3 linked regions of the Alligator mississippiensis genome follow. The protein of the gene in region 3 purifies or fractionates together with the protein of the main gene of each other region. This does not show direct contact. Links are inferred from orthologs where the notes say so. Each region holds a gene or a part of one and is shown on either strand. Other genes may lie near its edges.

Region 1 (10,370 bases), on a different chromosome or scaffold from region 3:
TTTCAAAGCACTTGGCATTGGCCTGATAATTTGTACCACCACCATTCCCCACAACGATGTCTACTATACTGATAGAAAGGAGGGAGGAAAACACTTGCTGTTAAGTGCTCTTGTCTATAACACTAACTTTTATATAGACCTTGAAAAGTGGATTCATATATCAAATCTTATTATCTTTTTTCATCCAATCCAGGCATCTCTAACTGTTCAATTAATTTATTTTCCAATGAAGATCTCAATAGTTACAGTTAGCAATTTCTAATCTAACAAAATACAGAAGGGAAGATCAGAAACTTCTGACATTTTAAGAAATTTTGTCTTCAATCTTGCAGGAGGAAGAAACTGTGAATAGATCGCCCAGAAACAGAAAGCCAAGGAAAGATTGAAAAAAATCATAAGAACTTGATCTCACTTTTTTTTTTCTTCCCCCCTCCCCTGCCCCCCAATGTGGTTCTGGGAGAGGACCTTGGACACCTTACATTGAAACTCAGACAAACCTCAAGACTTCACCATCCACAGGTTCCAGTCAAACACTATCCAGTGTAACAGTGTCTAGCAGTAAAATATTTGCAATCATCTGGGTTTTTTTTTCTAAAGAGCATCATTCCTATAGAAAGAATGCAGTTAACATCATGGGCTGTGGATTTTGGAATGTAATATAAAACTAACCTTTTTATTTTGGTTTTAAGTAATGTTTTTGTTTCATTTTAAATAGATTGGTAGGATTTCACTGGTCTCGACCTTGGCTTAATTTAATGTATTAATCAGTGAGAAGTAACAGCAAAAATCTAGAAAAAACGCTTGGCAATTCAAAATTAATTTTTATAACTAGTGGATTTTTGATTTTTTTTTTGTTTTGTTTTTTTACAAATATGGAGATTCTTAAACTTACCAATGTCTGTATTTCCCTAAATTTGATAATCATTTTTGAGCAAAGGTGGTTAGTGTGGCTGTATAGCTTTCTTACCCTCATAAAGATACTGTGGTGAGAGGGAGGTTAAATCTATGTACATATGTAACCAACCAAACTGTGTTTATACTCCAGCTTTTTGGGGGGTTGAGGGGGGGGGGAAAAAAGCATAATTGTCCCACAAAATAAAGATGCTCCCTATGGCTGCTGTCTGTTTAGCTGTTCATAGTCGGCCTAGAAGGTGAGGGTGGGTCCCTTAATATGGTACTTTATCCTGCAGGCCTCACAGAGGCTGGATGTCTGGTTTCTTTAGTCCTTGCGGGGTTTCTTTCTCAATAGGGCTGTTCTTTTTACTACGTTTCCTTCCTTCTGTCCAGCCTCTCACCCCAGCTTTCTCTGCTACTGTGCAGCTTGGCTTCCATTGCTGAACAGTAATTCATGCTCAGCTCCTCAAACTTTTTCTTTTTAAGCTAGGCTCACTCCTTTCCAGGATCCAAACGCTGGATAGGACAGTGTCCCTAATCGTTATTGTTGTCACTGTGTAAACTCCTGCGGACAGGAAGGTGGCCGCAGAAGGCAGGTTGGACTAAAGTCTTTTATTAAAAGCAAGAATTACAGTATTTTGTAGATGGAAGAAGGAGCATGTGGAATGACTGGTGTGTGTAGCTGTTTAAGTCTCTTATCTGCTCTTCATGTAACAGTTGCATCCTAAATTATATTGTGAATGTAGGGCGTTCCAATTCCAGCTAAATAAATTTTTTAAACGCGTTGTGTCTATTATACTATATATTTCTATTTGTTTCCTGTGGAATACATGGGAGCAGAGCATACCTCCTAAGACCAATACCTTTTTATTACTCTTTACCAAAATATACTGGGAAGATGGAAGGTTAGATGTCTTACTGAGACTTTGCTTCTGCCTTTTGGTTAGAATAGTTAAGTGTCCTAACTCCTATTCTATTCTCCTTGCTTTGAATATAAACACTCCAATGTTTCCATTGGGTGGGAGGGTAACTGGGTGTGTTGTAGAGAAGAATTAATGATGAGGAAAACATCTTTGTAGTAAAGATTAATGCAGAATAACTTGCATTTAAAAAGAAAAGCTTTTGCTGCCTGTATTCTGTGGCTGTTGAGCTGAAATATCAGTGACATGAATGCATGTCAGGGTTTCTTGAAGTGTCTGCAATGTACAAATAAAACACTGTAACCAAGATGCTGAAATCCAAATTTTATTTCCAGTCTGGGACCATTGGCTTGTAGAATCCATATTTCTCCCCAATACCTGGTTATATGTTGCTTTTACCTCCAAAATGGCTTGCTTATACCTCAGCACTGGAGTATGTTATGATTTAAGTGTTGCTGTTGTTTTGTTCTCAAGATAGTAGCTTATTTTTATAAAGTTGGTTAATGACTTTCTATTCCTACCCAAATGGGCTGGCCAGCTTTTATAGATGGCCGTAGGTTAGCTGCTTTCTTGAGCACAGCACGGGTCTTTCTTTTTTTCTAAATGATTTGATCTATATGCATATTGCCTTAACTTCATTACCTTTTTCACTTTCTGTACACACAATTCCAAAATACTCTTAACACAATTCTCATGTGCTGCTTAAAACAGCAGCTATGAAATAATACTGCATTTAAAGCTGATTCTAAAATGTTTTGCTTCAACTAGATCTCCTGAAATAAGTCTTGTCTGCATGTCTTGGCTTTCTTTTGATACTGTAATATGACACTTGAATAGTCACTACAATAAATGGTGACTTCACAATGCATTTAGAAAAACTTAAGTTTGAAAGATGACTTTGTCCTGGGTTTTAATTCTAGGTTACAGTTTAACAGGTTGTCACGTTTAACTGTCAGTTTTGAGTAAGGAAGAAGACATCCATATATAGTAAGGGTAGCCATGTTCCCTAAATACTGCAAGTCCGGTTATGATGTAAAGCAAAAGTTGGTCTGCATATAAGACTGAATTCAGTCTTAATTCTGTTGGACAGCGTTCTGTTAGCAAAATATTGACAGTGGATGTTGGTGTCTGTTTTTACTTGGCATTTTTTTTGCCTTCTAGAATAAGTATGGGGGTGCTGTAAACTAGCTCTTACAGAATTATGATCAGTAAAAGAGGTGATAGAAATATAGCAAACTTACTAACCTGGTAAGAAATATGTAAATTGGTCTTTCAGACTAGTTATGTTAATTCACTGGATAACCAAATAGAAAGTGCATTGTTAATGTCTAAATTTTTGGATTTCTGGGTTGGAGGGGGATGTTCTTACGGAAGTATTCACTACTGGTAAAGGTATTCTGTCTCCTCTACGTATTGCTCCACTTAATCTGTGGCAGCAAACTTGGTGCTAGTGACCAGTTTCTCCTCACCCCTCTGCCTTCCTCTAATACGTTGTTTCTAAATGCCAGTATTGCCTCGATGGTTTTCAGAAGCAAAATCCTCAAGTGTTACTAAAAAAGAACTGTGACTTCTCACAGAAAAGACCTTGTCTATTCATTTAAAAAAGTTAATTGTAGATGCAGTATGCATATATAAATATTGGATAAATTATAATGTAAGTTTACTCTGATTAATAAAGAAACTTAAATCTATTCAGATTTGCTTTGTCTACCTGGCTACTAAAACATCTAAAAGCTTTTTTGTCTTTTACCTCTCAGCATGAAGGTGGTGAAAGTGGTAGCACTCAAGTGGAATGCACTGTAGGTTCAGTCTGTGGCTTCTTTCTTTTCTTTTTTTAAGAGGGGTTTCTAGAAGAAGGCAGCAATTAAGGAGAAAAAACTTTTTGTTAAACTTTAAGTAGATTTTTTTTGTGCCCTCACCTACCACAAAAGTAACGCTTGATTTAAGGTAAAAGTTCACAAACCTTCATGTTTCACTTAATTTTAAAGTATGAGCACTCCATGGCATCTGTCTGCTGCTTTCACAGCTAAAAAACTGTGAATGCTAAATAATGTATCTGTTAAATTGACACTTTGAGCTACAAAGACTAATACTTTTTCCTTTAAGAGGAGAGAAACCTAAAGTCCTTTCAGTGTGTATTTTTAAAATTAGCTGATGCCAACACCAAAGAGCAGAGGAAGTCAAGGGAAAGTTATTTTTAAAAATAGGGTTTTTAGAGAGATCAAGTATTGGTGGTAGGCCCCTTCCAGGTGTTGACTTGTGGCTCAGCTCCCCAAGTAGATGAACGCTGGCTTTCATAGCCACTCTGCAGTCTCACTTATGCTAATTTGTAGTGGGGTATGGACTGGATATGAAACCCTTGATCTGGAGAGTAAGGTTGTTCTACTGTCTCCACTTACATGGTTCTAACCTACATGGTAGCTCTTGCTCATGATTTGGTGGTAAACTTAGGTCCCTGTTGCACATTTACATGTATTATGCAATTAACTGGTCAATTTTGCAACTAATTTAAACTAGCTGCAGGTATAAAGTAATTATCGCATGATAAAATGACTAGCTATAAAGTTTAGTGCTTGAAAAATGTAACAACTCTCTAGCTGGTTTCTATCCAGCTTTTATTTTGAAGGTATAGCAGGGCCCTTGGTTAATATGAATGCAGCAATGTTGTATTTGACAAACTGCTTTAATCTAGGAATGTTCTGAGGAAGAGCTGGGTGAAGAGAGCAGGTGGTGAGAGACTTGGACTTAGTCCTGATTTTTCCCTTCGGGTGGGTTTGCAATATGCCCTATTGTAGCTCAGACTTCCATACCATTCTTTTAGTTCTGCTGTCAGGTTGACAATGACTTAAATGGGTTTGAACTAATGAAAAGTTACAGAAACTTGGCCACTTTATAGTGTTTCATATTTTATAACTGGACTTTTTTTTTCTCACTTGCTCAACTGTGCTGATGCACAGTCTTTGGGCGGTCTGTCCCGAAGGGGTCGGAGAGGTCTAAGAATAGTCATTGCTGCTGTACTTGGAACCCAACATTTTACTTCCCTGTGAGCTGAGTCAGCAAGAGCTGCTGGCTGGTCACACCCTTCTTAACAGATGGGTGAGCAGCAGCTGTGGTGGTGGGAGTTGATCAAACGACTGGAATTTTTGTCCTCCTTTTTGGTGGCTCTTAAAACAAAATTAAAAATTGCAGTATGAACCCTAAATCAGTATAAAAGTTCTGGTAACTGGGTGCTTAATGCATACTTGATATGCAGCTCAGTTTATTTAAGCATTCCTGACTCAGCTTTTTTTTTTTTTTTAGCTCTGTTGGCTGCTACTCCTGCCACTTTGCACAAAACAGGCTCTAAAAGAGGGAATCTGTGGAGTTTGCTTGTACTTTAGTCTGTACCATGGCTCCTTTTCAAAGCCAGGTAACTTTCCCATTTATACTTTCCCAAAGAATGGTACAAAGTCACTTTTTCTTAGCAGACCTGACGACTATTCCAAAACTGCTCGACTGAAGTACTTGTGACCTGTGCCAAGAACGCTTGACGGTAAATACCCATATAAAAAGCTACCACTAGGGCACAGCAAAGGATGCACGAACCTGCCAACTGCTCTCGTGCCTCCTGGGCGTTGCGTTAAAATGGGTGTGAGCGCAATGACTCGATGCAGGAAGCGCTTGAGTCTAGATCTCTCCCAGGGCCTGCGTTCTCCCATGTCACAGTCACTCCTGGCTCATCCAGGAGGTGTAGGCCTAGCCCTTGAAGGAAGATGCAGTTCTTCTTTCTTGCCTCTGTAAAATGAGCAGCTTCCCAGTTTAAAGCTAAAAACAAGCTTTAGTTCAGTACTCCCCTTGCCTGGGCCTGGGGCAGGGGGGTGGATTGCTTCAATCTTTCCCTGACTGGAAAAGGAGGATGAATGCTTTCAGGACCCCTAGTAAAGAGATCATCTTTTATTAGACCAACACTCTGCAAATAAACCCCCAAAATCTTTAATTGCAAGGATCATGGCTTTGCTTTTATTAGAGCAAGATTTTGCAAAAAAAACAACCCCCCCCAAATTTTAATTACAAGGAACAAGGCTCGTGTTCTTTTCTGGGGGGAGGGGGAAGCCTTGATCCTTGCAATTAAAATGTATGTTTGTTTGCTTGCTAAATTTTGCTCTAATAAAAGTCAACCCTAACCTTTAACTGTAAGGAATGCTTTGCTTTCCTTTGTGTTAGGGTTTCTTATTATTTTCCTCCCCAGGGACGCGGCTCGCACTCGTTACAGACTTCATTTACAGCCAGGCTCCACTTCTGCTCCCCTCTCCCCGTGCACCCTAGCTGTCAATCACCCCTCACCTCGCCACGCCGGCCTCCGCATTGGCCGCTCGCGCTCCGCCCCGCCCCTTCCTCCACTATGCCTTTTAAACGGTCTCCGGCGACCCTCCTGGCGGAAGCGACGCCCCTTTTTCCGCTCCGTCGCCCTCTCATTGGCTCCGCCCGCTGCCCATCCGTCGCTGTGACGCGCACCTCCCCCCCACCCAGGAAGCCCCGCCCCCACCGCCTGAACTCGGCTCTTGAGGGGAAAAACAATTTCAAGATGGCGGCGGCGCGGACAACAATGGGGCGCTGGGGGGCCCGCGCCTGAGGCCGGCGGGGGAGGAGGCGGCGCGGCGGCCCGGCCATGGCGGGCTCGGGGTGAGGAGCCGGCGGGCGCGCGGCCCATGGTGCTGCCCCCCTGCCCCATGGCGGAGTTCGTGGTGCCGCGGCACAGCGCCGTGATGGAGCGGCTGCGCCGGCGCATCGAGCTGTGCCGGCGGCACCACAGCGCCTGCGAGTCGCGCTACCAGGCCGTGTCCCCCGAGCGCCTGGAGCTGGAGCGCCAGCAGACCTTCGCCCTGCACCAGCGCTGCCTGCAAGCCAAGGCCAAGCGCGCCGGCAAGCACCGCCAGCCGCCGCCGCCGCCACCGCCGCCTCCCCCGGCCGCCGAGCGGCCCGGCGCCAACGGCCTGGACAGCGACGCGGCCAGCGGCGAGCAGCAGCACGGCCGCAGCACCACCTTGATCGCGGTACGCGCGGGGCGGGGCGGGGCCGGGCCGCAGGGGAGGAGGAGAGCGAGGGCAGGCCAGGCCAGGCCAGGCCGTGCCGTGCCGTGCCCAGCTGGCAGCCGCTCCGCTTCCCCGGGCACCCATGGACGGAGCGCGGGGAGGGCTGCCGCCGCCTCGCCAGGTACCGCCGCCTCGCCCTTTGTCCCGGGAGCCTTGTCAGCCTGGCCGGGAAGGGCTGCCCGCCACCCCGCTCGCGAGCCGGGCGTGCGGGCGGCTCCGCAGACGGGCTGAACTCCCTTTCTTCGGGCGACTTGGGGTCCGGCTCCTCGGTTGCTGGGAGGAGGAGGAGGATCAGCACCATGAGGGCATGAAGCAGGCGCCCAGGTTTTACCTCGCGGCTGCAAGGAATCGGTTTATTAGCTCTTTGTCCAAAAAAAGAAAAAAAAAATTAATCGCAAGCTTTCGGGAAGCAAGGGAACGTATTTCTGTGAAACGCCGCTCTCACGATGGGGTCGTCAGTAAAAGTGCACTTGCTGGCTTCCTGGCGGCAGTCAGGTTTGAGTAAGGAATGCGACATACGTTTGTACCTGTTTAAGTTGCAGGCATCTTGAAACCATATCCTCTTGGTCCTGCCTCGATTGGCGTCATACCTCAGCGCGGTAGTCACGGTCGGGTTTGTTTTTTTTTGAAGTGGCCTTTTGGTTCGCAGGTGAATTCTTTGCAAGTAGAGTCTAATACGATTGAAATATCGATATGATGCTCAGCGCTTAAAATAACCCTTAGACCTTTTATGCAGCCTATAGTGAAGTTGCGAAGGGGAGCGCAGCGCCTGCTCTGGACGTGTGGATCTGGAGCAAAGAAAAAAAGAAAGGCATGATTCTCATTTTTATAGTTTGTTTAATAATTTATACCGATGTAAAAGGGATGTGAAATGCCACCAAATCTGAAGTTTCCACTTGCAACCAATAAGTGTTTTATGCATGCTTTGAGGTTGCAATGTGAACAGCAGTGCATTGTTTTTCTTTGTAGGTATTTGAACTTACCTCCAATAAAAAGCTTTGGGTGGTTGTATGCATGTTGCTTCTGAAGGATAAAACGCTTGTGATGATATGAAATCTAGTTCGGTGTCAAAAGGGAAACTCCTTGAAGAGAGGGGAAGGTACAGCTTGTATTGTTCCCCTCTCAAGTTTTTCAGGTTAGCTTCAGTTAGGCTGAATATACAGGCCTGAAATACAGATTTTTGGCTGAACACACAAGACCTGCACTTCTTTTGTACTGTTCGAGAAATGATAAGGCTTATGCTTGCTTGCGACTAGGCTATAAAGGATTCTCGTGTGGCTCATTGAGTTCATTAGGTAACAGATGGAGTACCTGTTTTTAAACACATTTGAATCCACTGGCTTAGACTTTATAGGGAAGTGTGTGCTGAAAAGTCTCTGAAAGAAGTTGCTTCTAATTCATTGCTGGCACTTCTTTTCAGTTGTTGTGGATGTGGATTTGATCTCATTAGCTTGCATTATAATGAGGACTCTAAATTTCCCCCACAATCATTGTGTGGTTTTGAAGTTCGCTGCACATCTGGGGAAACCCTTCTTGTACAGGAAGCTGCTGCTAGCAGCCAATTTACACAACAGAGGAGGGTTTTAGTGTATGAATGACTCTTCCGCGTGCAGGCCTGTTGTTTCCTTCCTAGGATACATGACTGTAAGTTGAATTGCTGCTGATTCATCATCTTGTTACTTGGTTGTAAAAGTTAAGTCGCATGGCAAACAACTTAAAATAAGGAATATGTAAGGTACCCAAAGGACCTTGTCTGCTCTGATGTGTTACGAGGATTCAGTTTTTTGGGTGTTTTTAAGTTCTTTAGAATATACTTTAATAGTGAGCTTTGTATTTCACCACAAACAGTTAAATTACAATTATCAAGACAGCACATCCCATGGCAATTTATTTTATGGAACACTCACTAAATCTTTTGGTTCATAACATTTTGTTTTAAAATACTCAGAGCGTGTGTACTTTAAAATAGTGCTGTTGGAGCAATTAATAGAGCAATAAAACAGCCAGCACTGTTTATGCTGAGTTTATGCAGAGCTTCATTGGTACAAGCTCCATGGAAACACCTTACAGAAAGTACCTCCTCTTTTTGTGTCTTATTATGTGGGGTTTTTTAATTATTATTATTGATTCCCTCAAAGGACAAAAGTCAGAGTCAAGTGCTTTATCTATTAGTCATTTATCTGCTCTAGATCCTGAAATTGCAGCAGACGTGGAGCACAAATATGAGCATGGGTCACCTTCATCCATTGTCTGCTTGCCAGCTAAGGAGAGCTAGTGCACAGATCAGGAGGAATATATAGTTACAAAAGAAATATACTTCTGGATGGTGTGTGCCACTTTTCCTGTATTTGGAAGAAAACAGTTGAATCGCTATTTCCCCTTTTCCTTAACTTGCAACTATTTTTAAAAATTTAAAAGTTTCCTTTAAATTGATTGTTCATATTTTAATTCCAGACTTAACTCTTTCCCACTTTATGAAGGAAGTTAAAGAGAGGAGATTGTCACCAGGGTCAGAAAGATGCTTAGAGAAATAGCAAGTAGAAAAAGAAAGGCTTAAAACACACCTCTTCCTCCTGTTCCAACTGCTGGTCCAGGGCTCCTGTTTTTACTTTTTCCAGTGCTTTGTTTAAATACCCAAGTAGCAGGGTTTTCTTCTGTTTTCTAGGGTAGACTATCCCATAGCATTTTTCTTTCACTATTGGTATTTTTCTGGCACAGCTGAGAGTGAAATTTACAGGGTTTTGTATTTATGTGCGTTTATAATGTATATAATTTCAAAACAATGCAAAAATGTATGTGTCCTGACTTTAAGATCTAGAACAACGACAGAAAGCAAATGACACCTTTCAGGATTGGATTAGCAAGATTTATTATTCAAGAAACAAAGCTTTACCTGGTAGCATGTCAGTTTGACTTACCTAAAACCTTTTTTCTGTTAGCTGCGGAAGCCAATCCACATTTCTGATCTCCAGGTATCTATTTCCTGACATGAAAGACAATAACTATATGAAGATTTTTTTTGTAGTAAGTCTACTGTAACAGTGCAATGTAGTCTTGCCATCCTTGTTCATTTTTGTTGAACATTAGCTTGTTGCCCAACAACTCAGATGGGTTTCCTTTTTGTCTCCTTTTTTGGTCCAAGGTATTTCTGCATTCTTGAAGCCTTTCCCTTTATTGGATTGGTAAGACCTGTAGTGGTGTTTCCTAAATTCGAAAGAACTGGGAGTGATCATCAGTGCTGCTATGTAGTTCAGCTGAGGTGGAGGAGCCAGCATTACTGCTTAAGAAGCACACTTTTTTGATTCAGCAGAAGCAGTCTCTCCTGACCAGTGCCAGCAGTGATATTTATAGATACACAGATCTGGAGCCCTTTTTCACTCTACAACTTGTTGCCTCCCAACTACTGAACAGAAGTTTCCTGGAATTAAAGTAAACATCCAATTGAAAATAGATGAGTGCATTTAATTCAGACAGCTGTGCACAG
Region 2 (10,585 bases), on a different chromosome or scaffold from region 3:
CTCCAACTCACTCGCATCCTTTCTGCAGTGGAGGGGGCACAGCTGAACCCAAAAATCCAGATGTGGCCTCCCCAATGCTGAATAGAAGGAAGAAGCCACTGCCCCACATCAGCTAGCACCACTCCTGCCCTGCACCGGCATCCTGGGCACCTGCCAGCCCCGCCCTGGAGTCCAGGGGCATGAGGAACCCGGGAGGGGGGGGGGCGCGGGAAAAGGGGACGCGGTCCCTTTAAGAGGCCTAGTCGGGCGCTGCCAAGCCCGAGCGACCCGGGCCGCGCCGCCGCCGAGCCCCGGTGCCTCCGCGCGCGGAGCGGGAGTTGAGGCCACCCTTACCCCGCTGTCGGCCGCCTCCTCCCAGCTCTCGGCGACCTCCTCATCTTCCATTTTAAGGCTCCTCGGCCGCCGCCAGCCCGCCGCCCGCGCATGCGCACTCTATCAGGGCGCATGCGCGCCGCCAGCCAATCGCACGCGCCGCCCAGCGCCTGCGCACTGGGGGAAGCTCCCGGCGGCTTCCTTCCGCTCGGAGCACGTGGGCAGGGCTGCGCCGGGCTGGATGGCTGCCCGCAGTGCGCATGCGTGATGGCTTCAGGGGCGGACCCTGAGGGAGCTGTGTGAATGAGCACACGTGTTTTGCCCGGGCAGGCCCCAGGAACACGCGGGTTAGGTCCTAGAAATACAGAAAATTCAGGGTGGAAGGGATGTCAGGAGGTCACATCTACTCCAGCTCCCTGCTCAAAGTAGGACCAGCCCCAGCTACATCATCCCAGCCAGGGCTTTGTCTGCCTGGGTCTTTAAAACCTTCAGGAACACGTATGTCAGATCCTAGAATCACAGAAAATTCAGGTGGGAAGGGACCTCAGGAGGTCACATCTAATCCAGCCCCTTGCTCAAGGCAGGACCAGCCCAAAATAGATCATCCCAGCCAAAGCTTTGTCTACCTGGATCTTTAAAACCTCCAAGGATGGAGACTGCACCACCTCTCTGGGCAGCCTGTTCTACTGCCTCGCCATCCTCCTCCTGAGAAAGTTTTTTTCTAGTATTTTTTTCCTAGATCACACATCGTAGAGAGGTAAGGCTGGAAAGGCTCTCGAGGTCAGTCGGCAGGCTGGTTGCAAGTAGCCGGTGTCAGCTACGGACGCTCAGGATCTATTGCAAACACATGCATTTCCATGAGGGGTTTCAGCTGGAGACGCACATGTTGCTGCTCTGGTTACAGCCAACGAGAATCTGTAAGGACACACATTGCCAGGTCAGGTCTAGGCACCCAAACCCCAGGAATACGCATGAAAATGCTGAGAAGGGCCTTTGGAGCAGCTGAAGCTTCATGTAGGGCCAATGTGTTTATATTCTAGGCCAGGGGTTGTCAACAGGTGTACCTCCGGGGGTACCTGAGAAGGCCCTAGGGGGTACAGGCAGGCGGGGACGGAGTGCTGCCATCCTGTGCAGATGCCGCCTGTCCGGCTGGACACAGGGGAAGCTCAATTTAAGAGAGGCACACAAAACCACCCATATTTCAACAGGCAGCAGACCTATGCTGTAATTTTCTCTGTATTATAAGCTCCTTCCTTTCTTTTTCAAGCTTAAGCTCTAAGTGATGCAAGGGCTACAAATCCATGTCATTGACAATGAACAGTAGCACCAGAGCCTTGAAATCCAGACTAGAGATCCTGCTCACTATAAGAATGAAGGAGAAACAACACAGACTGACTCAGAGTGCATTGTAAAGTCTGTATAAATAGCTCTTCTCCCAAACTCCCTGGATACTCACCTCAGCCAATAAATTGCTCTTCACTGAATCATGCTTTCGGCAGAAGCCGCTTTCTTGAGAGCATAGCAACTTATTGTAAACATTGTGTTTGCCTGACTGTCCCTCATAGGTGTCACTTACGCTAGGGAATTGGAAGCATTTGGCTTGCTTGTAGTTATGCATTTTGTGCTGTCAGCCTCCATCATTTCTTATAACCTGTGCAGAACTGGGCTAGGTCAGTACTCAGATCAGGGACACCTGCGGAGCACGCAAGCCTGGCATAATGGGGCTGGCAGTTCGGTAGATGGCAGGTGCTGTTCAGTGAGCTTGCCATGACCAAATGCCTGCCCCAGCCTATTCCAAAAGAGGTGCTGTTTCTCTTTCAGGCAAGTCACACTGACTACTAGGGGCTGCCACAGTTAAGACCAGTCTGTATGGGCTGAAGTGAAACCAGTGTCTAGGCCCAATTTCAGTCTGCTTTCCTAATTTGCTTGCTTTGCGCTCTAGGACAAAAGCACTGCAGTGCTAGGGCAGGATAAGGTCCTACATCCAGGGAGTATGCAGTGGTCAGCAGTGCTACTCCATCAATGGAAGGATAGTTTTGGCTGGTTGACAGAACTGAAGCAGTCTGCACCACTCCTGGATCCAACTAGCCCGGGTGCTTTACCGTGTGGCTACACTACTCCCTATTCAGGAGGTAGCTTTTGGCACCCTCTTGATCTAGAACCAGCATGGCCACATTCATGCAGCGGCAGACAGCTGTGCATGACATCCTTTTAGCAGATGCAGCAGGATGCTGCCTTGCCTTGTGGGTACATTTTGGGGTGAGTGATCCCCACAAAACAATACTTAATGATGTGGGAAGAATCCAGGATTCAGGCTTTTGCCACAAGCTTAATTTTTTACTACACATGATTTTTGTTACTGATAATCCTTTTTGGTTATTTGTCTAGCTTGACGGCATCAAAAACCTGTCCTAGCATCTCTGTCCTTTGCCATCAATAAAATAATCGTACCACAAAGATTGAGTCAGCAACAGCTCCTCACCCCGAGCCTAGAAAATCATTAACCAAAGATGATATCAACCCAATCAATATCCCCCAGGCACACTGCTTTCTTTCTGAAGGGCCTGATTCAGATTCCACTGGTATCAGCTGAGATACACCTATTGACTTAAATGGGCTTTAGACTGCACTCTTTAGCCTTGGGCTACCAGCTATAGAGGATCATGAGAAGTGTTAAACGCTACAAGCCCTTACTGCTTCTGTTTTCCAGACAGATAAAGCCAAGGGAGCTTATATTTACTCTACTTCCCTCTGACAATGCTAAGGTGGTTGTAAGATTTTGAACAGTCTCTTGGAAGAGTTTAAATGAACACAACCAGAGAGGGCTAGCAATCACATTTGTAGACCAGTGCTGGGAACACAGCCCTGGGTAGAGGGCAGGGAGTGGGGGGTCTGATTTTGCACAATGTTAAATGTCTTCTAGTCCCAGTGAAGTGCACATGGACTCGATTACTCGGTTCCTCACAGGATCAGGCCCTTTAAGCTCCAAAACCTGGTATAGCTTCTGTGCTGCCTGCCTAGGGGGCATAACATAACTCAAAGGCCCTCCTAGGTCTCTATTTGATGTTGCTCTTATCAGACAAGACTTTCCAGCGAGGGCTTGCAATTCAGGTACGATGAGGCTAAAATTGTCTTGACCTTTTAATCAGCCAACTTACGGTATTGATGAATGTCACTCATGGCTTCTCAAAAGGAAAACCCACATGCTATATCACCTGTATTTGTGACTATGACTTGCGACTTCAGATCAACTCTTTGGATTCATTTTAACTGGATGTATTCATTTGCTTAAGAGTTTAAAAGTGTCCAGAAATCCATTTCTCCTAGCAGTGTGAGAAAGCAAACATTCAGACAGCAATGGGAACGTAACCAGGCAGCATAAAAACAGTCTCCTCCCTCCACTTCAAAGCCCTTATTTCCCCACCATCAGAGGATGCTGAATGCGATTAGTATGATTTGCCAGCAGATGGCAGGTCTCTACAAACTCCACCTTTAAGAAGCAGCTGAATGCTCAGCCGTCTCCACAAAATGCATCTCCAATCAACTCCCTTGCTGATACCTGCTGCTGCGCTACTAGGTCTGCTCTGGTCCCCGTCCTCTGGGCTCTCAGACATGCCTAGTACTCTCGGTGCTATTCTTGTGCTCCTCTGGGATGAGGGACCAATGAAGCCATCTAGCTACCGGGAGGGGAAGGAGACTGCGGAGCAAAGCTACCTGCATCTCTTTTCATCAGGATCCAGTGATGCCATCCATCAAAGAGGAGCTTCCTGCAAATCTCAGCAGGGTTCAAAATAGCTGTGAATGCCTTCAGCTGTACACACAGATATTGGAGGGAAGAGGCAGCCAGATACTATGGCATCTAAGACAGAAGGCAGGGGAAGAGGGCAGGGTGACCTGACCTCCTCTATTTGGTTCTGGGCCCATTGCCCACACTGACCTCGCCAGGCAGCTTGGCAGGGTGGAGAGGAAAAGGGTACAGCATTCATTCATAGGGAGCTCAGCTCCAGGTGCAACCTGAGGCTGCTTCTACCCATTTCCACTGTTGTTCTAGAGAAGGAAAAGAATGCGTGGCCTGGACCGTAAACAGGCCTTAAGCCCACAGCATTTTCTCCCTGAAACTCAGATTAAGGACACGAAGGGCTTCCACCAATGCTATTCTATGTGGGTCTTGATCCCCTCACTTTGCCTTTGCCTCCACCCAGATCCCTTAAACCAGGATGAAGGAGGGCAGCTTCACTATCCAAATATTTCAGGCACAGGACCTCTTCTAATGACTAAGGGAAACCTCAAAAGCCACCTAAGTGACCTGGGAACCTAGGTCCCATTTTCCAGGTGACTTAGGCACTCACACACCTATGTCACGTTGACCAAGATGCTTCTGAAAATGGAACATTGGCAACAAAGTCACTCAAGCATTTTGGAAAACATTACCCTAAAACTCATACAACCAACAACCCTAAGACTCATACATGCTTGGTGGGGGGGATGTATTTATATCCTTAGGCAAATCCTGGCTCTTGTGTCTGCAGATGTGTGCCTTGGTGACGTAGGGCACCAGACGACCTGGGTTCTCCAAGCGCCAGCACCCATGGGAAATGGAGGTGGTTCCAGACAGATCAGGGATCTGCCTTGGTGTGGACACTGATGTCCTGAGCAATCTCGGAGGAGAGGCATCATTGCCACCCTCTGGCTTGACTCAAGACTCAAAACAGCATGAGCACTTACGTTCTCCTGTTTGGGGGATTTTCCACTCTCCCAGCCTGCAGAAGAGTTTGGAGTAAACAGGATTTGTCCAGGATACAGATAGTCTTGTGTTCATCCCAGATAAGATCTGTTCAGACTGCACCGAACCACCCTCCTCATTTTAAAGGACCAGAAATTCACACGAGTTGTGAACTGAAGGTTAAGAAAACTTCGTAACATTTCTCACCACAAATAAGACACACCAATCATGTTACCAGTAACATATTATAAGGATTAAATACAGAAAGGAGGAGCAAAGGAAACATGAACACCGCCCCCCCAGTAATATGTTCACATTAGAAACAGCACTGGAGAAGACTCACGCTACATCTTCCCTTCCTTCCTATCTGGGCGGGATTGCAGTGGTGGCTGGAGTGAAGGTTACACCCATGTTTCCATTCAAATCTGCTTTCCCCTGGTGATTAGCTGCTAGCTCTACAGCCATTTGGGTTGGCATCAGCAGGTCCGGGGCAAACAACCCAGGCAACTGCCCAGGGGAGGCCCCCCTTGCCTAAGTTAGGGCACATCTACATAGATGTTAGGGCTGGAAGGGACCTTATGAGATAGGTGGGTGCAGCCCCCTGTCCAAAGGGGCAGGCAGTCAGCTGGGGTCAGATCGCCCAAAAGCGTTCGTTCGTTGGCAGTCCCTTGAAGTCAAGGATGACATCCGTCAGGCTTGATGGGTCCTCAGGTGACTGAGGGGACCGATTCTGGATGCACATATACTTCGGCGACGGGGGCATGTTGTTGCGTGTGGGAGCGGGATCCGCAGCCCCAGGGTGGTCTCCTTCTCCTTCCTCCGCCACCGCCGTTCCGCCTCAGTATCGAGTCATTGGGCTTCGAAGCGTGCGCCAGGACCTTCGTCGACTTCCGAAGGACTCTCTTTCCAAAGACACATTGTCGCAGGTTGAAGAAGGTGGCACTGGCACGGTGCTGGACTTCTTCATCACCGAGATACGGAAAGCGCTCCACGTACTCCAGAGCAGCAGTGCAACATCAGCGCACGAGTAGGACGTGGAGGGGTCCAGGCTTCAGAGTCCAAGGCCGGCTCTGGCTGAGGGGGTCCCGGGTTGGTTTCTTCCCAAAGAAGCGATGGCTCTTCCCAAGGCTCAGCTTCCTGCAGGCTGGAGAAATCCAGAGGGTTTCTGAGGGGGGAAATCCCTGAGGACACACAGACTGGCTTGCCCCCTAGCAGAGGGTGGGGATCAACGCTGTCCTGTGGAGATGCTCCCTTGTTTCGAAGGGAGGGGACTCGGGCAGGGCTCCTATCCATCCCCAGGCCAGGCCAGGCCAAGCCTCTGCAAAGGTGAGGCAGGTGGCCTCCATCTCCTTCCCTCCAGAACGGCCCCTCCCCACTCGCTCGCCGTAGCTGACCTTCCCAACATGGCCCATTGTGGCGGCAGAAGGCCCTCTCTAGCCTCAACGGACCTTCTCAACATGGCCGCCTAACTCGGCCCTCCCCAACATGGCACTCGGCCTCACGTGACTCCGCCCGCCCCGCGTCATGTGACCAGCCCCGGCAGGCGCCTGCGCAGTGCGTCGCCTCCTTCCGGCCGGAGCCGCCGAGGCAAGATGGCGGCGGCCCGGGGCAGCCTGCGCTGAGCGCGGGGCGGGGAGGTGAGTCCCGGCGCGGGGGGCAGGCCCGGCTCCGTCTCCTGGGGAACCGGGCCGGGAGTAGGGCCCCGGGGTGGGGGCACGGCTAGCTGCCTCCTGGCCTGTGTCCCCGGGGCCCCTGCCTGCAAGGGGAGGCCTGGCTGGATGCCACCCACCTCCCCCCCAGCCTGGCTGAGGGGTGGTTTGGGGCCTGGCTCAGCACCGCCTGCCTTCTCCTCATCTTCCCCGCTCCGGTTTCTTGTCTTTTTTTCCAGGAGAGGTAAAAAAAAAAAGCAACCCTTCATCTGCCCCCTCTGCCATGCCCCTGGCTGGCGGGTGGGCTGCTTTTGGGGGCAAGGAGAGGCTTTGGGAGGCTGGCTGCCACCCCCAGGTGCGTCCCCGTCTTCCCCGGGGCACCGGCGGGCTCCTCTCTGCCAAGGGGAGACTCCGGTCCCCACCTGCCGTCTCCTTGGCTGCCGGACGTGCTGCCGAGCCGGCTTTTTTTGGGGAAAAAAAGGCTCCCCCGGCCTCCTCTTCCGTTTTCGTGCTCGTCCGACGTGCCCGCCGGGTCTCTCTTTGCGAGGAGAGGGGCTCTGCCGCCTCTGGCATTTGGTCTCGTGAAAGATAACATCGCCCCTGCCGTGATTTCGGATGCCGTCTGCTTCCTCTGTCCTATTCCCCTTTTTGGAAAGGGGGGTTTTGGGGGAGGTATGGCTTGACACGCACAATTCGGGCATGTTCCTGGCTGTCTGACCCTCCGATGGGGTTCGTTTTGTTGTTTTGTGTTTTAAATGAGAGGTTTTGGGAGGTCTGGCTTGATGCCGCCTACCTCCTCTGCCACTTTCCTGGCTATCTGACCCCCCGATGGGCTTCTTTTTGGAAAGAGAGGGTTTAATAGGCATGGCTTGGTGCCGGCTGCCTCCTCTGATGTTTTCCTGGCTAGTTGATGGGTTTGCTTTGGTTTTTTTGGCAGTGTCCACATTAAACCGAAAAGCATTGCTGCCGCGGGGTGGTCTTAGTGCGTGGGTCGTAGGTTTCTAGGGTCGGAAGGGACCTATTCGATCCCCCAGCTCTGGGCAGGAAAAAGCGCCGGGGTCTGATTTGTGAGGATCCCCTTGTAAGCAGCCTGCCACCCGAGTCTCTCGAGACCGAGGTGTTTTGGGCTAAACGCCTTCATTAGCAATCCTTGAAGATTCGGTGTTGCTGTTTTCTTAAAATGCTTCTGAGGCTGAGGGGGGAGCTGTGCGCCGCTGCGTGCCTTAAACTCCGTAATTTGCAGTTTTGGAGGAGTTGGGGAAAAGTCATGGGAAGCCTTGTTAAAATTTTGTGGCTGGACTGCATGGTACTGGTGCATTACCTGCAGCTGCTTTCTGTTTGTGAGCAAACCCAATGATCAGACTCCTGCTGCGAGGCTGGCTTAATCCCCATTGATTGATGGGGATGTTATTTGCATTAAAATGATTTTAATTATTGTAGTGACACCTGTTTACGCCTCGGCCATTATGTAGTAGAGCTTTCACCAATGAACTGCTGTTTGCTAGGGCAGAAGGAACAGGCAGCTCTGATAAAGGAGCTGTGTGTTACTTCACTGGAGATGCTGCTGACCTGCATCCTAAATCTAAGAGGAGCATTGCTTATCTTTTAAGAGCTGCCCTGTCACTGAACGGCATCGGGATCCTGGAGAGATGACATGTGATGATGCAGTGCCCTGTGCATTGTGAGATCACATCTAGATGGCTGCTGCAATATCACAGTGCAGTGATGTAATCAGGCTGGAGAAAGCTTTACCTAATGTCTCCTAGTCGGAGCGTCAAACTGGCTAGCCTGATGTTGGCTGAATTAGTAGGGGAGACTCACTGTTGTGATTCAGGGGCAATGCAACACTAGTTCTGGACTTACCCCAAATCCCTGCATCAGACAAGGGCAGATATTGGGGTTCTTAGTAGGGTTTTGTCCCTGGAGCTCCATCCTTTGCCATTCGCTAGCACATAATAGAGCCTTGTCTACATGCTGGATTTCTGCCTACCTGGCTGTGTTGGTCAGAGGTGTGGTGAGGTGTGATCCTTGACTGATGCAGCTTTGCTTGCAAAAGCCCCTTATTGTGATGAAGTCACCCCCACAGAACAACCACCTTGCCAATATAGCACGTTTCATTTTAGGGGTGTGAGCAAGTGGGGCTGGAATAAACTGTACAGGGAAAAGCACAGCTTTGCCAGTATAAGCTGAAATTGCAGCAGTAGCACTTGCCAGCGTAGCAACGCACTGAGGGGAGACATGTGATGGGAAAGAATGTGTTGTTTCCTCTTCCTCGGGGCTCATTTCTTTGGGGGTCACTACACCACCCCAGGCCCTGGCTGTGGCCAGAGGCATTCTTCACTGTTCTGTCTTTTCCCTGGCCTCTCTTCTATTGCTGTCTTTCTGTCTTCGTCATTGATTCTCCCTCAAAAATAACACTAGTGCACAGTCTTGCGAGACACCCCCCCCCCCCAACTTTTTGCAAGAAACAGTGATCTAAAGTACCAGAGACGTGTCTGAATATCTGTTTCACTTGACTGTTTGGTACAGTGGGGAAATGGGTGGACACACAAAAGTTGCCAAAGCATGAGTCGAAAGGACTGTGTTTTGTCAGTAGGGAGTGTATGAAAGCTTATCGTGGCAACCTTAGGAGCTAGAAAATTGATTTTAAAGCTGCAACTTAGGTTCTGCAGAATCTGCTGGTGTAGATCCTTATCTGTGCCCAGTCGGATTTTCCGCTTGACACAGACCAGGTTTCATGTGGATTTTGCATGCTTTGAATACGTGACAGTATCCTCTCTCTGTCCTGGCTTCTGCAGGGAGGGCACTTTGCTTCTCACCCCCTTGTATTGTCAGGGGAGCCTCCCTGTTACTCCCTGCCTCGTATTCCTCTCTGTTACCAAGAGGAGGGTTCATTTGGCAGTCTTTGCACTAGTCTCTGAAAACAGTCTGGCTTTGTATTTAAGTTTATAATTTCTTTCCATATGTTTAATGGAAAGAGGGATGTGAATTGTCATTTGCATGGTTGAGGTCCCCTTTCAGCAGGGGGGAGAAAAGGCCTCATATCAGCTCGTTCCCAGCATATGAATTGTGTTTTAAATGGGTGTTTTCACAGCCTCAGTAAACTTGCACTGTAATCTTTTTCAGTAGTTGCCAATTTTTGCGGGCTTTCCACAGCGTGTGACTGAGAACTGTTTAAAAGGTTATCACTGTGCGTGTAAACAAACCGGTGTGAAGTTAGTCACCCCCTCCCCTCGTGTTTGCTTCAAGAAAAATGTCCTAAGATATAAATCAGTGTCTTGTTCAAGCAGTTCCTTGATGTTGATAAGCACCAGTGACTTTGCATTTTAAAAGCCAAAAAGTATATCAATATCATACCGGAGATCAGTGAGTGTTTTTTTAAAAAAAAGTTGTGGTCTAATGCTGTCTTTTGGCTCTGAGAGTTGGTCCAAGTCCAGATAAAAGGGTTTTTGGAACAGAAACCCACTGGCTCTGATAATGTACACTTAATGGATGATTGTGCACACACAAATTTGTTTTCGGAGTGTGATTTCTCTCTCCAGTGTGATTAGATTCAACTTGGATATCTGGGTTCAGGACCTCCAGTGATGTCTGTTTGGGTTTAGCTGTACTATATTGACTTTAAATGGAGTTGTATGGTATATCAGAGAGAGAGAGAGAAAATTCATTCCTCTTCCTTGCATATTTAATTTTATGTGTGCAAAAGTTGTATGTGGGTGTGGGAAAAAATTTAGTGATATACCAGGGACAGTAAACTGACTGTTCTGCAAGGTGGAGAAAATCTGGCCCCTGCCCACAGAAGCATACACTGATGGCACTTGCAAATGTATATCTTGGAGCTTAAATTCATTCACACTTGGTCATGCTTTGTGGTATGCCTTCTTTCTTAATATTCTGGAAA
Region 3 (10,447 bases):
GATATCAGCAGTTCTGAACTTGGATTGTGAGATGTTTGACAGAGAATTTCCTGAATAGTAGGACAAGCCAAATGTCACCTTCAAAGCTATGGTATTTGAAGATTTCAGAGTGTATATTCCACAACTGATTAATGAACTCTGTCAAACCTTCAGGTATTAAATGGGCAACAGCATCAGTCACAAAAGAGTGAATGGGATGGGTAGAAAGACTGAGAGGACATACAGGAGCCCTGGAGGATTTTGAGAGAGGTACTTTCAGGTTTGCCTGAATAGAAAGGGCCCATTGTCAGAGGGATTCATGGAAATAGCATTACTAACCTCTTTAAAAAGAAAAACCCAGTAGGAGGGGCATGGGATAAGCTAGATAAGCTATGTAGGGGAGGGGAAAAACCTGACTTAATATAAAATCGAGATCAAGGTTACTCCTTCCAGGTGGGCAGGGAGGAAGGACAAAATGTTATATATTAGAAGGCCTTGGGGATTGACAGGAATTAAAATATATATTTTTAATTAAATAATTCAGAATTATCTAGCTATGCATACCATTAAAATACACAACCACATGATATTAATACTGTTAACCTCATCTTCCCTTCCCCCTCTTCCTTCCTATTGTCTGTTATACTTGTATCTTACATCTTGTCTTTGTGGGTGGGAACTACCCACTCTTATACTGGGTATCACAATGAGCCCTAAAGCTGACTACAACTTTTGGAAACTACCATAATGATAAAACAATATAGTGATAAGATAAAACCTGCTAGTGTTGAGATTTATATAATGAATTATTTATTTTCTTGGTGGTATTAGGCTATTTGAGAATATGGCACTCAAAAACCCTGCTGGGGTCTGGGGTCAGAGGGGTTAAACTTCCCTTCCCCTGAGTATGGAGCTGCCTTGCCTGTTTACTTAGTGCTGGTTGCAGCTGTGGACTACAAATCCCAGAGGTGCTTGGAAGCAGGAAGAAGAAGTGATGAGAAACCCTACAGAGTCCTGCTGCTTTGAGTCTGGACTGCAAATCCCAGAGACCTAAGGGGCAGCAGGAAAAGGAAGTGAACACACAGCCCATGCTGGCTATGTACCAGAGAGCTGTGCTCTAGCACTCTCCAGCTTCTGGGTTGAGCTGCTGCAGGCATATGGCTGCATTTTCTGATTCAAAAGTGAACGTTCATTTGCTTATTGGTTCAATCTTTGCAGTTTAGACTAACTTGCAAAGACTGAATCAATTCAGCTTTGGGCTTTTTGACTGTCTGTACTTAGCCCAAAAAGGGGTGGGCAAACTAGATTACATGTATTGAAGTTTATTTAGAGTTCCATTGTTGCAAGTAACTAGCTTATTTATTTATTTATTTCTAACTGGAGACATCCATAAAATGTAAGATTTTTCAGAAATCAGTTCCCTTTAGAATGCCCCAATATCACTAGACAGATTTAAAAATGTAGGCTAGATTTAGAACTTTTCCATTGTTACAGCATGGCTGTAATGGGCCTTAACTCACTTGGCACAGGAGGTTGAAAACATTGACTTACATAACAAATAAATCCATATAATTATTGTCTAAACCTTGTATTTAAAATTCGTCATTACTCAAATCTGGCATTGTCCACTACCAACGATCAGAATTTAGACCTCAATCCAAGGAGGTGCTGAAGTTAAGTCAGTAAAAAGTGAGTATTTTGTGCTTTATTGAGGTTGGGCCCTTTAGCAAAAGAAGTCATACATATAAACAGTGATAATTACAAAAAATTGTCTGAGCTTTTGCCATAATTTTTCCCCTAGAAAGTACCAATTTTAGACCAACTCTGATTTTGACAGTATTCCTGACTTAGTTCAAGAGCCTGACCTTCAGTATGACTGACCTTTTGTACTGCTACATAAGGTTTATGATTTTAAAAATGTTTCAGTAGTGTCTTTTTGTTAAGTACACCTGAATCAGTGATAGAAAGCACTGTTATGTAGTCTTAAACTACTGTGCTATTTATTAATTATTGAAAACAAAGTGCCTTCTCTGAGATCCAATTAATTTTTTTATTAATCAAAATGTCTTATTTGTAAAATATTAAAAGAAGTCTAGACACTAAATATTATTGTGCACTATATTTTTACATTTTCCAGTTTAATTTAAAACACACAAAAGAGGGGCCCCATAAAATGACCATCTAGAGACAGTTGATGGCAAGAATCCAGAAACGATTCTTAATGGGACGGAACTAGCATGAGATGAGATCATTCTTCAATTTGGAGGGGAAAAAAAGATGTTTTCAAGAAGAAATTTTTCAAAAGGATTACAAATTGTTGTTTCACAAACAATACAGAGGATCTGCGGTATACACTGTGTTTCAGATGAAGAGTGTGCCGATAAAGGAACCAATCAAAATCCTTTTATGATTAATGAGGAGAGGGAACTCATGATAGGAAAAGAGTCTCCTGAATTATAACTGAGTTGTTTGCTGTAGTTCCAAAGCATGAGTTCACTACAGTTTGTCTGGCAAGATTTTCTTCCTTGCATTAAGTTAGCATTAGCAGTGGAGAGTAAGTATAAAAACAGAGCAAAAACTGAGTCATGGACATGATGGAAAATTCAATCTTTTATAAGTATGGGAGCCAGCAGATTTAGTAAAAATTAAGTAACTCTCAAAATCTCCTTCTCAAATTGGGATTTTAATTAATGTTAGATTTGAGTTTGAACCTAGATTGATGAAGAAGACAAGCTGAATGGGAGCTACTACTGAGCTTTAAGCACCGTAATCTTAGTCTTTTTAAACACAGGTATCTAATAGACAACCGCCCTTTAACTCGAAAGGTCAACTTTGTATTTTGTTATGCGAATTACTTTTTCAGGTCTAAGATACCTGTTCTGAACCCCAAAGGAAAGTTGTCTCTCTTTCTCTTAATGTCAAAATGATAGTCTATATCCAAATATTTTAAGATCTTGGATACTGATACCTCTTCTCATGCATTCTCATCCAACCTCTAACCTTTCCAGATTGTCCAAAAAGTAACTCTTAAGATCATTTAATTGAGTGAAGCAAGGTCTTACATTCAACTTGTTGGCATTTATCTATCTTGTTACACAATGACTTCTGAACACTCCATCTCATTAAGTCCACAATTTGAGAAAATGTTCTAGTTCAAAGACATTGATTTCTATGTACATCAAAAAAACCAAAAAATCTTTAAAATCTTGAATGTGGGATGTATGCGACAGTAAGCTGGGGTGGGCAAAGTATGGCCCACAGGAGGGTGCCCAGATTGGATCCAGCCTGCGGCCGCTTCCACAGTACTCCACATGGGGCTGAGCCCTGCCAGGGGGCAGCCACCACTGGACTCCCACCTGTTCTTGCTGCGCCTGGCCAGAACTTGCAGCTTTCCGGCAGGTGGTGCTTGGCTCCCGCCAGCTCCAGTAGCTTTTCATCTTCCTGCCCCTGTTGCGCTGCTCCAGGTGAGTGGGAAGCTGCACCCAGGTGGCTCCTGCCCTAGCTGTAGCTCCAGGCTGCCTTCCACCCACTCTGCCTGCCTACCTACCTCTACCTGCATGATGAGCAGTCACCTGCAGGCAGCTGAGTGAGTGGAAGACATCTGGGAAGAGCTGGAGCCACCTGGTTGCAGTTTCCCTCCTGTCCAGAGTGGCGCTGCATGAGCAGGAAGAGGAGCAGCTGCTGGAGGTGTGGCGGTAGCTAAACACCACTCACCAGCAAGCTGTGCATGCTGGCTGGTACCCGGGCTGCAGTTAGCAGGTATGGGCTGCCCTGGGTGGGAGCGGGCGGGGGCTCGGACCTATGCAGTGTTGTGGGGGCAGCTGCAGGCCATACTGTCTGGGAAAGCTTTGCTTCATGCTGCCCTGTCCCATCCCTCTTTTCCCAGGCCAGCTCCTGGAATCTAGCACTCAGGCAGCCTCCCCTCTCCCCCACAATATGCCCACCCCACACCCTCCACTCACACCCCCTCCATCCCTGCCAATATACTAGAGTAAGACTTTATTTTGAGTTATGCAATCACCTCTATATACACTACTCAAAAAAACCAAGTCAGGACAAAAATTGTTGTTTTTTTTTAAAATAAAAATAGAATGTTACAGTAATGTTTGATTTTTTTTTTTTAGTGTATGATTTTATCTACAATTTGTTAAAATGATACCTTCTACAAATTTTGTGTGTGCGGCCCTCAACAGCTCACCAAAACTCATTTAAGTGGCCCTCCAGTTGAAATAATTGCCCACCCTGCACTAAGCACTAACATCCTTAACAGAGCCTGCAGCTTCAAACACATCTATAGATCATAGGTAAAAGATTTGGTTGAAAAGCAGTCGTAACAGGATGGATTGTTTCAAATCATGGTTTTTATCATGATTTGAATCAAAAACATGATAATTTCAGTCCTCTTTGCATTTGTACTCCTTAATTTCCTGAGGAAAGGTTAATTCTTGTTGATTTTTGTCCTGATATAGCTTTTACACTAAATTATGTCTGTATTTTTGCTAACCAAAAGGATCTATTATCTTTACACATAAGCAATTATATAGTTTAGTAGCTACTAATATTCATTTGGTTCATTATTTTAGGTTAGGAAACAATAAAGAGTGTAGGAGTTTAGGTTGTAGCCGTGTTGGTCGAAGGACATAGGCAGACAAGGTTCCTTGGGTGAATTTGATATCTTTTATTATACCAACCCAAATAGTTGGAGAATAGTTATTAAGCTGCTGAAACTTCCTTAGCCTGACGAAGTGTTTTTGAACCCGAAAGCTTGCTTAATAACTATTCTCCAACTATTTGGGTTGGTCTAATAAAAGATACCAAATTCACCCAAGGAATAAAGAGTGTAGGTCTTTTTAAATCCTGAATGTTTACAACTTGCAATTTGGATGGAATTGGGAATAAAATGCAGAGGAATAGCATTTTACTACTGTTTTTATTGGTTAAATAAATACACTTGAAGTGTGACAGACACAGAAGAAAAAAAGTTGCATATATTCACAGACATTAGGGCTGGAAGGGACCTTGGAAGATCATTGAGTCCAGCCCCCTCATTGAGTCCAGACATTTTAAACTAAATTTTAAGTTGACTTATGAAACAAACTAAGCATTCTATGTAGCTAGTGAACTGAATTATGTTGGGTCGACACGTGCGTCAAGATTTTGGAAGTAGATTTTAACCTCTTGTGTTTCCTAAGTATTGACTGATAGATCGGAAAAAGAAAATAAGCCTCTCGGCAACGACGAGCTGAAATGTTTCTCAACTATGAACAAAACTGAACAAAAGGAAGAGGATTCTTCTTTCTCCACCTACAACAGAGGGCCCAGATGTCTAAAGCTGCTTTTCCACTTTGCTTGAAAACTGGGTCCTGAGGCTTTGCTTGCGACTTCATCCCCGCTCAGTGGCTTGACAGACTTTAAAACTCGGTCGCAAAAACACAGCTTGAACGGTGGGTTTTTGAATCACGTTAAACGACAGGAAGGGGCAGCATCCAGAGGAGGCCTTCACAGAGGCTGTCCTAAGACCAGTTTTACTTTTAAATCACTTTTTGGGGGGTTTCTTTTTTAGCCCAGCGGTCTTCCATTTTATCACGGCCTCATTTTCCACCTGCCCCTCCTTCCCCCACGGCCACAGCCGGAAACCCGCTCATCTCGGTCCCGGGGGCCACGTGCCCGTAGCAGTTGCTGTCCATTCGAGGGCAAACCCCTTGGCCTGCAGGTGCTGGCAGCTGAGTTCTCCCTGCTGGTTGCCCTCGCCCTCTGCGCTGCGGGCGGGTACGCCTGCCCCAAGCCTGGCGGGTGGGGCGCCGGGTGAGACCCGGCCCCACGCGCCCACCACAGGAAACTACGGCCCGGCCCCACCCCACGCCGCCCACTTTGTGCTCCGAGGCGCGTCCCCCCGGCGAATGGGCGCGTCCCCCGTGCTCTGCGCAGACCCCTCCCGCCCGGGATGGTTTCTCCCGCCCCCAAGGCGCAGGAAGTTTCCGAGCCTAGACTCCGCCGCCGACAGGGAATCCCCCTCGCGCTCCTCTCGCGAGACGCACCATCTCCTCTTCCCTTCGGCGCCGGCATTCTCGCGAGACTCGGGCAGGTTCCCACGCCTGCTGCTGTTGTGTCTGACTGACACTGGGAGAGCCCGGCGCGCGGGGGGTGGTGCGCGCTCCGCGTGTGCGCTCTATGGGCCCACGCACGCGCGCTCTCCGGCAGGGCCGCCGCGCTCTCGCGAGACTAGGAGTTTTGGCGAGAGTTTGTGGAAGATGGCGCCTGTTGTGACAGGGTAAGTGCGGAGGCTTCGCCGCACCGCGCCGCCCGAGGCCCCCGCCCGTGCCCGCCGGGGCTCCACCGCCTGCCCCGCCCTCGCTCCCCGTTCCGCCCCGCTCCTCCCGGGCGGCTGGGCCCCTTCGGCCGCTTCCCCGGCGGGACGCCCCGGGCCGCGGCCCCGGGGGCCGAGAACCCCCCGGGCGGACGCCCCGGCCGAGGCGCCCCCTGCCCGAGGCCGCGCCCGCTCGCCCGGGAGCGCTCGGCCTGCGCCCGCCCCGTGCTGCTGGGGCAGCTCCGTGCCGGGACAGTGCCTGGCTCCATGCTGCCCTGAGGGCGCTTCTCTCTGGCTGCCGGCAGAGTCCCCCCCAAAGGCTCCCGGGCAATGTCCCGGGAGAAGTTGAGTCCCCCACGCACCGCAGCGTGGCTACGCGAGCGGCGTGGGGCTCGGCAGGGAGGGCACTGCTCCCTGGCGCGGGAAGCGAGATGTTCCTCTTCCCCTGCACCCCCGGGGCCCGGCTGCGGCTGCTGTCAGGGCCGCGCTGCAGCTCCCGCCCGCGCAGCACCCCTCGGCTCTCCCGCACGGTGTCCTTCCAGATGCCCCCTGCGGGCCAGGGAGAATGAGAGAGCGCGAGCCCCAACGTGCCGTGTCACCTGCTGTGTTACTGCTGAGTGTGGGCATCTTCTTGGTATCCCAAATTATCCTGAACCCTGCTTGCAGCCTGTTCCTAATCTTTAGTCTCGCTGGGTAGTTCCCCCCCCCCCCCCGGCCTGGTCCCTAAGGGGATTGGGGCTGCTAGGGCAGCAGTAGGCCTTGCCTCCTCCCCACCTGCTTGATTGAAACAAAATCCTGGTGGCTGAAAATAATTCTAGGCGTGGGGGGGAGGAGGGGGGTGTTTTTTGCACGTTTGGCTAAATATCCTGCCTTCACATCGCATCTGTGATTTTTTCTCCCCGTGGGATTACGTAGTCTCTAGGCTTGGCTCTGTGGTTATAGCACAGAGCCAAGCCTATTTGGGGGTGGGGTGGAGTTGGTGGTGGTTGCTTTTGTTCTTATGGAGGTGGCGGCATTATGGTATTTTCTTGTTTTGTTTTGGCCTTAGCACTTGTTAGTTTCTTGTTTCATGGTTGTCAAAAGCAAGCGTTAAACTGTTGCCTGATTTTATTCGAGTTCAAAAGGCACTTGCTGCTGTTGCTTATTTTGGCTGCTTAAACCTTCTTTAAAACAGCAAGTCTTGTGTGTTGCAATCTGTGGAGTACACTATTTAGAGTTCTAGAGTTGGGGGAGTAAGACATAATGGTGTTTCTAAAAGTTTGCCTTACATGGGTTGCATGTTAATTTTATTCCAGTTTCTGGTCACTTAATTGCCTCTGTGCTTGAGTTTTATTCGTTTTGCTTATTGATTGGGACAGAAATGTTCTCCGTGACATCCCATCTGTTTTTTCCAGGAGATGCATTTTAATTTTTGACTAATTAATGAACTTACGAATGAGAGAAACACACTAACAACAAAGGAATAGAAAATATGTTGTGTTTTAATGTAAGGGTGGAAGTTTCTCTGTGTTTCAATTCTAACAATACAACTATTGTTTAGCATTTTCAAATTGGTTAAATCCTGTAAAAAGAGAGGGAGGAGTCATAATTCTAACCTCAGATCTTGAATTAGTTAATCACCTAAAACATAGAGAACCTTGAAAAGATGTGCTAAAATGTATTAACGGGTATGGTTTTTATTTTATTCAGTGGTTTTGGGGGTTTTTTTGTGTTTTTAGTGTACTTAGGTTTTGGATTAGCAATGTGATACCCTGTTTTCTTTTAGTAACTGGCATTTTTCACAGTAGTAAAACCTCTCTTCATTCTAGTGTAGTTAATTTTCACTCACGATCTTAGAAAACAGGGTAGAAAACAGTTTAGAATTAAAAATAAAATAAATCTGTTAATGTAGTAACCAAGGGTTGCATGCTGTTTTTGTTGCTTGCATGCACTTTCTAGCAATCATGAAATTTCTAGATGAAGCGTATAAGTGATGCTTTGTAATTGCTGGGAGGTGAATGTTGGAATATTATCTTTTCATGAAAACTAGTTGTTAAAACTAAATTGCAGTACATAAGCCTGATAAACCTATTGTCTTGTTCCAGTAATCTGAAAGGACTAGTAACAGTAATACCTGGCTATAGAAGTTGTATTTCTGGCACTGTGACCTTCACCCAGTTTGCTGATGGAATATTCTTTTATCATAGGCTTACCTGTGTTGAAAAATGCATAGGTATACAGCTTTTATATAAGGCCCATGAGAGATTTAGATTTATTATGTATGATCCCAGCAGTCTTTCCTGCCCAAGTGCAGGGGGACTGGACCCAGTGATCTATAAGGTTCCTTCCAGCCCCTAACAACTCTGGAATTATGAACCCTTAAATCACCTTGTTATGGATCAGGACTCCATTGTACTCAGAACTGTGCAAACAGAACTATGTGAAGGTCCCTGCCCCAAAGAGCATGTTGTCTAAATATACGACAAGAAACCAAAAATTAATGTAGTCATATGGGGGGGGAGGGGGATATGGGGAGCTGGTGAGATGGCATTGGACAGAATGATAGGCAGCCTGTTGCTTATAGACAGTAAGGAAAAGGAGGGTTTTGGGGGAGCCTGATCAGGTTTGTAAATTTTGTGTGTAGCTGTTGGCGGCAGCATGGGAGAAATACAAAGGTACCTTTTTAAAATTTTAACAAGTGGGTAAAGAAGACTGGTATAATCAGCTGACTGGAGGTGAGGTTCTGTGTTTTAACAGTGAATGAAGGATAGTAAGGTGAAGATAGATTGTGAAGGGCCTCAAAATGCCCAGTGTTTGTTATGCAGTAGAAATAAGGAAGGTAGCTGGTATGTGATACAAATAGAGATGACAAAGTAGTGGCACAGGGAAATTACTTTTGCTTCAGCTTTCAGAATAAATATGTGCAGGCTTGCATTTGTCAAGACCAGTGTAAAGGATTTTGGAATAATTGTGATGCAAGAGAGCCTAGCTGTGTGATGCATACAAAAGCCAAGTTTTAAAAAGGAAGGCAGAAAGAATCATCAGGATCTGGACAGATAAAGGAGTCTCTATAGCAGAATCTAGGTAAGTCTGAACTGAGATTTGATTAGTGGTGGTGGTCAAGTGGAGAAAGGAAGAAACAGCTGGAGCTTCTGGTTGAAGATTAAGTGCTCTGCTTTGGCTATGTTGAGATTCAGCTGATGGCTCTTTTCCATAAAACTAGGTTGAGGTTTGAGTTTGGATAGGAGGCAGGTGTAGGCAGGGCAAGGTCTAAGTTTTCAGCCTAGATATTTTAGTTGAATTGTTTATACAGATTAAATTTCCCACAAATAAGGTGTAGAGGGAGAAGACAGTGGGATCAAGGGCAGAAAGTTGGAGGAGAGGCAGGAAGCCATGAAAAGACAGACTGAAGAATTGGATTGAGGATTAGGACCTGAAATAGATGGAATCACATAAGCCAAAAAGGATGGGAGTGGGAAGGACAGGATTTCCAGAGGAATATAACTGATTCTGTTTAAAGATAATTAGCTGGTCAAGCAGAATGAGTATAGAGTACTAATTCTGTACTTTGGCTATAGTCTTTGGTGAGTGGATTGTGGTGCTCAACAGGAGGAAGAAGAAATGAGGACATAGGGATGTTGTTGAAGGAGAGGAACTCTGGGGAGTAATTTCCTTATTAGCATAGTTTAAACATTATGGTTATTGCTACTTGAGTAATAGTATAACTATGAATATTATTGTACATGTGCACATAATGAGTTTTTCTAAACTCAAAGACAAATGAGCAAATGCTTTTGGCTCATGCAGCTTTAACTTCCAAGTCATTAGCATGGTGATTCTTAATGAGGGTGATGTGAGATTCTTTGGCTGTCATGGGGTGTGAAGACATAAGCAGATAAGTAAAGGCTCAAGGTGCAGTTACTGGGCAGCCAGTGGTCCTGGGCCAGAAGCCCTGGCTGGGGGGTCGGGGCCGGGGGGGCCCTGCTGTTGTGGGAGCCCACTGGGCTTCCCCTGGGTCCTTTTGCCCTTGGTTCCTAGGAACCAAGGGCAAATGAATATTAATTTTCTAAACTTTTAGGGGCCCCACAGGCTGGATAGAATGGCCTTGCCACCCCTGATTTAGATATTCTAAAGTGTGCTTAATATAAACATCATAAATAATGTGGTCTGTCCAACTGTTAC

Evidence for each region. The genes of interacting proteins can lie anywhere in the genome.
Region 1: the proteins of RBPJ (region 3) and MAML1 purify together in Homo sapiens (co-immunoprecipitation; 12 studies listed by BioGRID and IntAct, counting the BioPlex papers as one, with this or other methods). This does not show direct contact. The link is inferred for Alligator mississippiensis from reciprocal best matches to the Homo sapiens genes RBPJ and MAML1.
Region 2: the proteins of RBPJ (region 3) and FBXO42 purify together in Homo sapiens (affinity purification with mass spectrometry; 3 studies listed by BioGRID and IntAct, counting the BioPlex papers as one, with this or other methods). This does not show direct contact. The link is inferred for Alligator mississippiensis from reciprocal best matches to the Homo sapiens genes RBPJ and FBXO42.

The regions. Positions count from the first base shown.
Region 1 is NC_081832.1:74,541,322-74,551,691, forward strand, and holds the start of MAML1 (mastermind-like protein 1), read left to right. Parts: upstream 1-6,363; 5' UTR 6,364-6,502; coding exon 6,503-6,847; intron 6,848-6,953; exon of another isoform or gene 6,954-6,968; coding exon of another isoform or gene 6,969-7,007; intron 7,008-7,225; exon of another isoform or gene 7,226-7,674; intron 7,675-10,370. Other genes in the region: CANX (calnexin), read left to right, coding at 333-386. UniProt on the Homo sapiens protein: Acts as a transcriptional coactivator for NOTCH proteins. Has been shown to amplify NOTCH-induced transcription of HES1. Enhances phosphorylation and proteolytic turnover of the NOTCH intracellular domain in the nucleus through interaction with CDK8.
Region 2 is NC_081836.1:3,382,830-3,393,414, reverse strand, and holds the start of FBXO42 (F-box only protein 42), read left to right. Parts: upstream 1-6,578; 5' UTR 6,579-6,672; intron 6,673-10,585. Other genes in the region: SZRD1 (SUZ domain-containing protein 1), read right to left, coding at 334-446. UniProt on the Homo sapiens protein: Substrate-recognition component of some SCF (SKP1-CUL1-F-box protein)-type E3 ubiquitin ligase complex. Specifically recognizes p53/TP53, promoting its ubiquitination and degradation.
Region 3 is NC_081825.1:39,902,075-39,912,521, forward strand, and holds the start of RBPJ (recombining binding protein suppressor of hairless), read left to right. Parts: upstream 1-6,152; 5' UTR 6,153-6,230; coding exon of another isoform or gene 6,231-6,250; intron 6,251-10,447. UniProt on the Homo sapiens protein: Transcriptional regulator that plays a central role in Notch signaling, a signaling pathway involved in cell-cell communication that regulates a broad spectrum of cell-fate determinations.